3 linked regions of the Rattus norvegicus genome follow. The protein of the gene in region 3 purifies or fractionates together with the protein of the main gene of each other region. This does not show direct contact. Links are inferred from orthologs where the notes say so. Each region holds a gene or a part of one and is shown on either strand. Other genes may lie near its edges.

Region 1 (3,754 bases), on a different chromosome or scaffold from region 3:
CTCACCGTGGCTTCCAAGTCCTCTGTCTTGTTTCGGAGATGGTCCAGGTTCTCCCCTCGGGCCAAGATCCGCTCCACATTCTGGGTCATAATATTCTTGACTCCCTCCACCTCACTCTGCAGGTTCCTGACTCGGTCATTTCCGGCACTCCCACTGGCCTCCTGCAGGTCAATACAGGGGTTAATTAGGCTGGGCAGCAGAGGATCCAAGAGGCCAGAGGAGGTTGGAAGGACCAAAGTAGCTCTACCACTGAGCTAAATCCCCAACCCGAGATTTTAGCCACTTCTAATACTTCAGTTGTTTACAAGGGGAATGTTCTATGGAAACGTTCACGTGGGTGCAAGCGCGTGTATGTCCCAGATCAGCCTCAGGTGTCATTCCTCAGCAGCCATTTGGTTTTTGGTTTTGTTCCCAGAGGCTGGGTCTTCTGTTGGCCGGGGGTTCTGAGATTAGGGTGGACAGAAAGCCTTCTCTACCATCCGAGTGCTGGGAGCCACTGCACCTGAGTGCTTGCACCACCGCACCTGGAGTTTTCTTTTCTTCTAAATGGGTCTAGGGACCCAAGTCAAATCTCCATGCTTATGTGGCAAGCACTTTGTCCACTGAGCCACCTCCCCAGATTTATTAATTTATTTATCCGAGACAGGGTCTCATATAACCTAGGCCAGCCTCAAACTTCCTAAGTAGGATGACCTTGAACATCTGATCCTCCGGTCTTGACTTACCCTGTGCTGAGATTACAGATGTGCCCCATCACCCCTGTTTTATCAGGTGCTGGGGATCAAACCCTGAGCTTCATGCTTGCCAGGCAAACACTCTGTTAGCTGAACCGCATCCTTAGTCTGGCATAAGTGCAGTGTGTGTGTATGTGTGTGTGGTGTGTATACGTGGGTGTGCACACACATTATCAGTAAGTGTGTGTTGGGGAATATACATGTATGCCATGGCACACATGTGGAGGTTAAAGGACAACTCTCATGAGTGGATTGTCTCCTAGAGTTGGACAGACAGGAGTGAGAAGGATATTGAATTCAGGCAGACAGGCTTGCTCTGCAAGCACTTTTACCTACCCAACCATCTTGGCTGCCATATAAGGACATTTTTTTTAAGTCCCAGAAGATGAGATTTGATTCTGGACTGCAAACCACCTTCGGGGGTTTCAGGGTGACAAGGAAAAAACAGCACACAACTGCTCCCATTTTGACACCACAAAGAGGGTCGGGGAGAAAACAGAACTGGATTTCCGTTCTCCTCAGCAGAGCACAGAAAAGTACTATTTTTTTTTTTTTTTTGGTTCTTTTTTTCGGAGCTGGGGATCGAACCCAGGGCCTTGCGCTTCCTAGGTAAGCGCTCTACCACTGAGCTAAATCCCCAGCCCCAGAAAAGTACTATTAACTGGTCCCCATAGCCTCCCTCTTCCCAGTCCTAGTGGGTTCTCTCTAAAACTCTGAGAGCTGGCCAGCAGAAGGACCCTTGCCTGGCCCAACCCAAGTTCCTCTCCAGACAGCTGTTGGTGAATTCTGGTTCCAGCTTGCTGGGCAGTGTAACCCTGGTTCAGTCGGTGTGGCCCCCAGAAGGCATCGTGTGCCGTTGGACCGCACACTTCTGCTTTCCCCACAATTTAGCGCCTGGTAGGCCGCACACCACCGCCTGCTTATGTAGATATTAACAAAAGTTCTTCCTGCTGAGGTCTTCTTCCAGGAGGCCTCTAGATAAAGCTTTTGAACAAGGAGGAAAAAGGCCTGACTCCTCCCTTAGGGACCCAGGGGGCCGTGGTACTGGCCGTGGGTGTGGGCTGAAGCTAGATTATCAGGGAGAACCGCCATCTGGCTTCTTTACAAACCCTTGGCACTGTTGCTAATGTTTCTAGAGAAGAGGGGTGCTTTTTGTGGCCAGGCAGATCCTCTGCGTGTCTGCGTAGATACAGTGCGAGGCTAAGGGGGGAGAACTCCAGTCCGCTGGGCTGGAATCTGAACACCAAAGAGCAGGAGCACTTGTGGTCCGGTAATGTCACAACACCCGGCTCAGGCCCAGCTGGAGGAGGCGGAGGAGGGGGAGGGCGCGGCGCAGCAGCTCGGCTTGGAATTTGGGTTCCCCAGCCCCCACCGAAACCCTGATCCCATCCAGCACCGAGGTCATGGGAAGAAGGAGGTGGAGAAGTGTCGGGAACCCCTGGCCCGGAGTGCGGAGCTATTTGTAGACGAGTTGTCAAAAGTAAGGAGAGAGAGGCAGCGCTGGCCCAACCCGGCCAGCCTACTGACGGCCGCCAACTTACCTATCTCGACACAGGCAACCCCCAGGCCCGATCCCGCTCCTCTAAATCTCTCTTTCCTAGTCCCCACGTCACTCACCATGTCTCGGAGCACTTGGGCCTCTCAAAGCAGAACTTCGCCTAGTCTGTTTCCACCCAAGGCAGCTACAGCTTCACTTCCTGCTTACTCCAACTTTCTGCCCGCCTCCTGCCCATCCCGCGACTCCAGCCTCTCGGGCTCCTGTCACACGTAACTAACTGCAGGTTTCTCCAGGTAGGCGGCCGCCCTCTACTGCCCTCCTCCTAGTCTCCTCCTAAACAAAAGCTTAAGCAACAGGGCAGGGGAGTGGGGGAGGGGAAAGCGTCTAAGTTGTCAAGAAGGAGAAAAGAAGGATCAACAACCCTGCTAAGTTTTCAGTAACTTCTTTTTGTGCTTCAAAGGAGTAATTCTAGTTTTTTTGACTTAAATTAGCCTTATTTAGATAGCAACGAATATACAGGTGAAAAAATCTTGCTGGGCAACCTTTGTCTCTGAGCCATCCTGGATGAGAAGAGAGCACTTTAGTGAGGATTTTAATCCCCAGAAAACGGGGCTGGAGAGATGGCTGGGCAGTTGAGATCACCTGGTGCTTCTGCAGTGACCCAAGTTCAGGTCCCGCACCCACACCTGGCTGCTCACAAACACCTGTATCGCAGCTCTAGGGGGTCCGGATGCCCTCTTCTGGCCTCTGAGGGTATGTGAACACACATGTGCACACACACACACACACACACACACACACATACACATAATTAAAGTCTTTAAAATCTCCAGGAAAGTTCCAAGTTGGCCCTGGGGGAATCTTTGCCCTCCTCTTTGGATTCTTCGTTGCTGAGGTTGACCTCCAGCAGTAGGAGGAGTACAAACAGCAGGGGCAGGGCACCTTAGCCTTGTCACAGGACAGGAGACAGTCAGGGAAATGGATCACTCACCAGCCCCTCCTTTCCTTCTGGAGTTCAGCAGTCCGGCATTTCCTTCCAAAGGTCACCGTGGGGGTTAGTGACCCTGGTCAGGAGTCAGATGGATTAGGAGGGGGCCTAAGCGGAAAGGGTTTTTCCACCACACGTGGCTTTCCGCCAGAGAAAATCTGCTCTTCTCCGGATGGAGTTTGTCAAGACAGAACAATAACAGGGCACCAAGAGAACACACATTCTTTCCCACCCCAGAATAAATAACATTGTCAAGGAGGAAATCTTAGCTCCTCCAACAAATAAGTCTTCTTTTTTTTTTTTTTTCTTTTTGCTATAATAAATTTAGAATCTCGGAATCATTTTAAGACACTTTTGTGTTTTCCCTTGTACATGCTCAGGGACTCAGGGAGGAGCTACATCTACAAACACTGCATGCTTAGTTTTACAGAAGCAAATTGAAGCAACTAGTAACACTTTAAAAAAAATCTTTAAACAAAGATTTATCATTATTATTTTTAAGTGTGCGCATGTGTGTGTGCAGGGCGGCTGGGT
Region 2 (3,754 bases), on a different chromosome or scaffold from region 3:
TTTCTTCGCACCATCTTCCACCCACAAACAGAAAAATGAAACAAACTAAGCTAAAATAAAATACTACAGTTACCATTCCTGAGTATGAATGAGACCTAAGTTTTCAGTGAGAATTAATTACTACTATAAAGAACTGTTGAAAGGCAAGTCTTGAAGGTCATCGTCAGCTGACGTAATTTCTGAAAAGTGCTGCTTCCTTGAAGCAGGTTCTATCAATAATCAGGTCGATTCATTTAACAGCTCATGTGTAATGTGGCAGGTTTTACATGTGAACGCCTATCAGACTCACCATTCTTTCAAATTTCAAATTCAGGTCAACACACTATGGTAGTTTTAAAAATCTTCATTATTTAACACCAATTTAAATGATACATACTTAACCAAATAATTACCCCTCTTCTCACTGCATTTCAAGCCTGATGATTCTAATTTAATTGAAAAACTAATTTAACATCTTTCTGAGTAATTCTCACATTCAGTCAGAGGTAGAAACCTACTGTCGAGTCCGTGACTTGCATGTATTAAAAACAGTATGCACAAACAAAATTCCAATAGGTCACTGGCCTGACGAAGTGTAAACTCCTTGAATAGACCAAGACCTCTGGAATGCCTCCGGGTCCTAGCTTCACTCAGGGTGACTTCACTACAATCTCTTGTACACATCATTCACGGCTACTCTGAATCATCCCACCTGGGACTTACTTCTCTCAATCGTCACTGTCACCGGCATCCTTCAAGTTCCCCTGGCTTCAGGAGGTACACAGTGAGCCATTTATAATGAAATTGCTACTGCATTCACTATCTGTTGAACTTAACTTGTACTGAATGAAAAGTTACCACCTTGGATCATAATTTTGTCATCTGCTTCAGAAGCAATTTGTCTTCTTCCCCTTGGTAACACTGGAAGCTTTGGGAAGCACATGGTATATCACAATAAATGTCTAATGTTGTTAGTGATGGAAAAATTTAGGCACAGGTGACTAATCTTGTTTGAAAGTAGTTTGTTAGGTTGAGATGGACTACTTTCTTTCAAAGAGTGCAGCTAAATTTACAAATTCCTTCACATGCAACTTGTATATCTATATTATTGACACCTTTCATTGCCCTTATTTTCCAGTGGCTCATTCTATTCCTACAACCAACCTTACTAAAAATACTACTATGTCTTCACACTGTCATAAATATTGTATAACTTCTTATAAAATTAAAAATCCTAACAAGCTGTGAATTGTGAGTTGAAAAAGAGGCTTTATTTATTTTTCTTACCTAATTTCAAGTGTGTGTCCATTTACTGGCTTTAAACACATTACACTTTTTAAAACTGTTTTAATTATTCCAATTTATGACAGAATGGCAACATCCTTTTTAATATTTCATACACTTTTTTCAAGTATTCTGCCCTTTCTTCTTTAAAACATTATTGAGAAAGAACTTCAGAACCAGAAAACAGTAATCTAATTACTTTCTGTAATTACTAGGTTATTCCTTTCCCTGATCCATAAAGGCAAAAACAAGTGTTAAGTCATCAAAACTATCTTCTATTGCCTTAGCAGTAGGGCAAGGTCTAGCTCAGAAACGTTCCAAGTAAATCGCCAGACCTTTCACAACAGGCACTCTAGCAATGCTAGCAATGACACATAACCTTTGTAACTCACTGTTACCATACTAACACATCGTTATTGCTGTGCTAAAAGCTTAATACCCACTCCCCAAATGTCACTTCTTTAAAAAAGAGGAGGAGGAGGAGGAGGAGGAGAAGGAGGAGGAGGAGGAGGAGGAGGAGGAGGAGGAGGAGGAGGAGGAGGAGGAGGAGGAGGAGGAGGAGGAGGAGGTGATGGTAGTAGTAGTAGTAATAGTAGTAGTAGTAGTAGTAGTAGTAATAGTAGTAGTAGTAGTAGTAGTAGTAGTAGTAGTAGTAGTAGTAGTAAGATCCTGAATGAGTAAAGCAAAGGAAACGGCGAGGCTTGGGAAATAGGGCTACTCCCCAAAAACTAGCATATAGAGAAAGAAAAACTTAAGACTATTAACCAACTCACCACTGTGCAACGTATCATATAGGTTTAAACTTTCGTCTAAATTCAACTTAAGGAAACCGCTCGTAACTGGGACAAATGATGTGAACCTTCTCCAAAGAACCCAACAACTCGCTTTGGAACTCCAAAGTCACTGACAGAAGGCCGGTAGTTTTCCTCCCACGCCCCTACTCCCGGTTCAGCAGGTCCTCGGGTCCCCAAACTTCGAACTTCAGCACTGCTCTTACCCAGGCCTGCACGCCTCATCCTGCCACGAGAGGGGAAGGAGGGCAAGGAAGAGTGGGTAGGAAAGGGCCAGGGTCACCCAACCTCGGCTTCAGTCCTAAGGCTCCTCAGAGAAACAACTTTTTGCCTCAGAGCGCCACGACATCAGTAAAGTCTAAACACCGCGCCGGTTTATGTCGTCACCCGGACACATATAGGCGCCCTGCAATGAGATTTTAGTTGCATTCTGGGAAATGTAGTCTTCGGGCTTCTGGGGCACAGGGTAAGAGGGGCGTGGTAGGAACCAAGTCTGAAGCGGGTGGGGTTTCCGGAAGGGCAGAGGCTGCTGCTGTGGCTCTAGTCCTGTGAGTCTGGGTCTTTACCTCTTCCAGAGCTGCCAGTAAGGGACTTTATGATGTTAGTGCCAACTTTAGCCGGGGAGAGTTATTCCTCCCTGGCCTGGATGATGGTGACTCATCTTTCTTGATTTTCCCTTGCACTCCCAAAGTCCGAGGAGAGTAAGTCAGTGCAAACTTGGTTCGAGAGTCTCATCTATACTGTCTGAGCCTCTTAGCATTAAAGGAAGATCAATCCTCTTACTTCCTGATCCTGCCCAGTGGAATAGAAAGGGAAAAAAAAAATCTGTATCTTCGCAGTAGAACATCTGGTAGGGAAGTGGGGAGTCTCTCATTCCTCATTCCTCGTTTAATGCATTTGCTCTATGTCTGGAAAGAACCGTGATGTTTAGCTTTTAAACACTCCCTCCTACTTAGGGACCTTTTAAATAACGCAAATAACTTGCGTATTTCAAACCCCAAAGTCATTGACAGAAGGCCAGTAGTTTCCTCCCACGCCCCTACTCCTGGCTCAGCAGGTTCTAGGGTCCCCAAACTTCGAACCTCAGCTCTTTCTTACCCAGGCCTGCAGACTTCATCCTGCCAGGAGAGGGAAAGATAGACAAAGAGGAGTGGGTAGATAAAATTAAGTGTTCTAGTGATACTTACAAAACCAAGAACATGGGCAGAAAAAAACCCAAATACACACAAATACCTAATACTTGTTTGGGTGGAGCATGGGGTCCAATTATGGGCTTAAAAGTTTGTTAGGATGCGTGGAAGTATAGTGGTTAATATCAAAGGATCATTACAAGGTTACACAAAAATAATGTTTTTTGAAGCCAATAGTTATTTACTGCCCATGTTAATATAGTTGTGTTGCTACTGTATGGCAGTGATGTGGTATTTATAATAGAGCTTTCTGAAACTACTATACTATTATTATTATAAAGTATACATTATAAACACTGATCATATAAGTCAATTCCCAACTTAAACATTGACTATAATTACAGCTTAAGTCTCTGCCTTAAGACAGTGTCTGTAAAATACACATGAAATGATTTACAATGTGATATATTAACTGGGAAAATAAACTTTAATAGCATTAAAAGAGTCTTCATAAAGATAAAGTAAGCCGCCATTCTCCAAAAGCAATGCGATTAAATGATGATGGATCTG
Region 3 (3,654 bases):
AGAGGCTACAGGAGGATGCCAGGTGTCCTGCTTCACTACCCTTCACTTTATTTCTTGGAGACAGGGTCTCCCCGGACCTGATCCAGTCTTTGCACTTGACAGTGCTGGGGTGAGGAACACGGTGCCACAGCCAGCTTCCTTTTCACAGGTATCTGATCTCAGACTCAGCTTACACAATAAGAGCCCTTATCACTGACCTCTCCCTCCAGCTCCCATACTTTCCTTTCCTTAATGACCTCATCCGTGACACACTTCCACAGTTCTATCTCACATCTAAAGCGTTAATGCCACGGGTCTCAGGCCCCTGGCATCTAAATCAGCTACATTAATTTATCAAAAACTATTTGGTCATTGGCAGGACAAATGACCAGGCGAATAGCTAACAATTTCCCACAGAACGAGACAGCACACACAGTTACAAATATCACGAGACGACCCCTGTCCTATTTGGATAAAAATGAAAAGCAAGCCCTGGAAGTAGGTTGCAATGCCATGTGGCTCCATGAGGAGGCGCTGATTACACTCCGAGCTTCAAGCTTTGGAAGCACATGGAGCTTCCTTCAATCAGCAGGAATGCAAACGTAGGCGAGGGCAGCCTGCAAACTGTAGAGACTACAGAAAAAATGGAAGAGAAGCTTTCTCCTCATTGAGAAAGCTGTGACAGGTGAACGGTCCACAGCAGCAGGACTTACCAATAACATCTCCTTGTTCATGAATCATCATCCCCAAGTCTTTGAATATTTCGTTAATGTCCATAATGTCAGCCTAAGACAAAGATCACACGTTATTATCCATTATTACAAACACGGTCCCCACTCCTTCAATGGGAAAATCAAAAGAAAAGAAAAAAAGAAACAAATTTACACCCACTCATGCATATATAAGCATGCATTCAGAAGTAATATATACATTTTAGGAACGTCAGAAAAATACACTAGTGTAAACACTTCTAACTAAACAGCCTCTGGATGGCTTCTAGTTGTCCAAAGTAAATCTGTGACACACACTACCTCAAGTGAGGCAGGACTGAAATTGAGGAAGGCTGTGGAGTACTAAGTTCAACCTGATAATTGTCACAACCAATATTTGATTAGAAGAATATGAATATCCTTGTATTTCAATAAAAATTTATCCAGGAATTTGTCAATTACAATAAATTGTGTATAAATGTTTATAAATTTAAAGTCATGCGTTAATACCTTTGAGTATCTGGTAGATCATAGTGAAATTATAGACATCATCAGAGGGTAAACAGATTATAAATTTATTGGATAACCTAAAGACTATACATGGACTGACCCTGGACTCTGACCTCATAGGTAGCAATGAATATCCTAGTAAGAGCACCAGTGGAAGGGGAAGCCCTGGGTCCTGCTAAGACTGAACCCCCAGTGAACTAGACTGTTGGGGGGAGGGCGGCAATGGGGGGAGGGTTGGGAGGGGAACACCCATAGGGAAGGGGAGGGGGGAGGGGGATGTTTGCCGGGAAACTGGGAAAGGGAATAACACTCGAAATGTATATAGGAAATACTCAAGTTAATAAAAAAAAAAAAAGAAAAAAAAAGAAATTTATTGGATAAATTGTAACTTTATTTTCCTTAGTACATACCCATTTATTTTTCCCAACTAAACACTATTTTTTTTTTAAGTGTGTTAGGACGTTTGTATATCTATCATGGCCTTAGTATGCCTATCTGAAAAATGTCACTGATGATGACATAGTTAGCAAGTTTAAAGAGCTTGTGTGAGGATGGAATGAAAACTCTGTGTTATCACAGAGCCTTGGCACACGAAGACCTTCATTAGCCCACTGTTAGGAGTGGCATCAGTTCAACAGAGCTACAACGGAACAAATCCTTCCTCTCTGTGACGTGGTGGTCACCCTAAGAAAATTACAGTTCTCTTAAAGCTACTGCCAAAGCCTCACTCACGAAGGGATGGTGTGGTGGCTTCGGGGCGCTGCCCAGGTTCTTTGGGTGGTGTTCATTTTTAGAGTGGAGCTTTCTCAATACTAAAGAGAACGGTGATTTAACCATGTAGGAGGCATATAGCTTCTCATCCCAGTTCCAACACTATCGTTTCCTACACAGGAATTATTCCAAATTCTACACTAGACATTTCATCAAACTGCCAGATGTTTTAAGAGTTTTCTTCTCTAGCGCTCTCCGGGTGTCTGACTGGAGCAACAGTTGGGCATAGGCATGTAAGGCTTACTTCCAGCTGTCTGATTGAAGACTCTCTCTCATGAATGAGCCGGAGGTCATCCTCTGTGATTTCTTCATCTTGGACTTGCACTTGAGGCTGTGTTTGGCTATAAAAACAAACACAGAAAGGAGACTTATGTACTCCTTAGACACGCTTACTGAACAGGATATTCTGGTCAGACTCAAGATCAGACTACTGCTCATTTAAAAGGTGTTGAAATAAGTAGCCATGGTGATACGTGCCTAGAATCCCAGTTCTCACTGGGTAAGGCAGAATGATCCAGAACTTAAGGCCAGTCCTGGCTACATGGGGAATCCCAGGTTAGCCTAGATAACACGGTGAGATCCTGTCTCCAAAAAACCTCAATAAATAAAGAAAAACTTGTAGGCATAAATAGACATTTTATACAAATTTTACCCCGTTTTTACTCTACTCATAATTTTAGCTTATACTGCTTTTGATGTACTCATTAAGAGTCATACTTGGTAACTTCATATAAGAATATTTTATTCTTAAAAGTAAGAAAATAAGTTTATTTGTGTGATCTATTTATATATTACAAAATAAATACTTTATAAGTATTTATTTTCCCAAATCTATGATTTCAGTTGATAAATAATAGACTATTTATATTATAATAAAAGGTTTCATTCTGCATCATGGACTATAATATAGAGAACCTCAAAAATTATTTTTTGATTTATAAAGCAGTTTTCTTATTTCTTACCTTTCCCAAGATACAAAATTCTTCTCTTTTGAGCTGTCTTCAGGAAAGCCACCCTGAATAATTTGGTTAGAGGACAAAAAGAAAGCAAGAATAAGAAAAAGTAACAAAACACTCATATTTTCCCTGTGTTTTGTATGAGTACGTGTTCATGTGTCTGTGCATACATGTGTAGGCATACATTTCTGTGCATATGTATGTGCATACATTTGGGTGTATATATGGGTACGTGAGCATATGTATGGGTGTGTGTATATATGTGTGTACACATCTGGGTGTGCATGTGCATGTGAGCATATGTATGGGTGTATGCATACATTTGGGTGTGTATATGTACATGTGATCACATGTATGGGTGTATGCATATGTGTGTATATATAGGTGTGTGTATGTATATATGAGTATATGTATGGGTATGTGTATGCATATGTAGATATATTTGGGTGTGTGTATGTGATCATATGTATGGTGTGTTCATGTATGTGTATGTACATTTGGGTGTGTATATGTACATGTGATCACATGTATGGGTGTATGCATATGTGTGTATATATAGGTGTGTGTATGTATATATGAGTATATGTATGGGTATGTGTATGCATATATAGATATATTTGGGTGTGTGTATGTGATCATATGTATGGTGTGTTCATGTATGTGTATGTACATTTGTATGTGTATATGTACATGTGAGTATATGTACGGTGTGTTCATGTATGTGTGTG

The links.
Region 1: the proteins of Stx7 (region 3) and Vamp8 purify together in Homo sapiens (affinity purification with mass spectrometry; 7 studies listed by BioGRID and IntAct, counting the BioPlex papers as one, with this or other methods). This does not show direct contact. The link is inferred for Rattus norvegicus from reciprocal best matches to the Homo sapiens genes STX7 and VAMP8.
Region 2: the proteins of Stx7 (region 3) and Bet1 purify together in Homo sapiens (affinity purification with mass spectrometry; 3 studies listed by BioGRID and IntAct, with this or other methods). This does not show direct contact. The link is inferred for Rattus norvegicus from reciprocal best matches to the Homo sapiens genes STX7 and BET1.

What each region holds. Positions count from the first base shown.
Region 1 is NC_086022.1:106,003,151-106,006,904, forward strand, and holds the start of Vamp8 (vesicle-associated membrane protein 8), read right to left. Parts: upstream 2,493-3,754; 5' UTR 2,355-2,492; coding exon 2,352-2,354; intron 162-2,351; coding exon 6-161; intron 1-5. UniProt on the Homo sapiens protein: SNAREs, soluble N-ethylmaleimide-sensitive factor-attachment protein receptors, are essential proteins for fusion of cellular membranes.
Region 2 is NC_086022.1:33,078,803-33,082,556, forward strand, and holds the start of Bet1 (BET1 homolog), read right to left. Parts: upstream 2,361-3,754; 5' UTR 2,280-2,360; coding exon 2,261-2,279; intron 1-2,260. UniProt on the Homo sapiens protein: Required for vesicular transport from the ER to the Golgi complex. Functions as a SNARE involved in the docking process of ER-derived vesicles with the cis-Golgi membrane.
Region 3 is NC_086019.1:23,021,852-23,025,505, forward strand, and holds part of Stx7 (syntaxin-7), read right to left. Parts: intron 2,986-3,654; coding exon 2,933-2,985; intron 2,312-2,932; coding exon 2,215-2,311; intron 766-2,214; coding exon 693-765; intron 1-692. UniProt on the Homo sapiens protein: May be involved in protein trafficking from the plasma membrane to the early endosome (EE) as well as in homotypic fusion of endocytic organelles. Mediates the endocytic trafficking from early endosomes to late endosomes and lysosomes.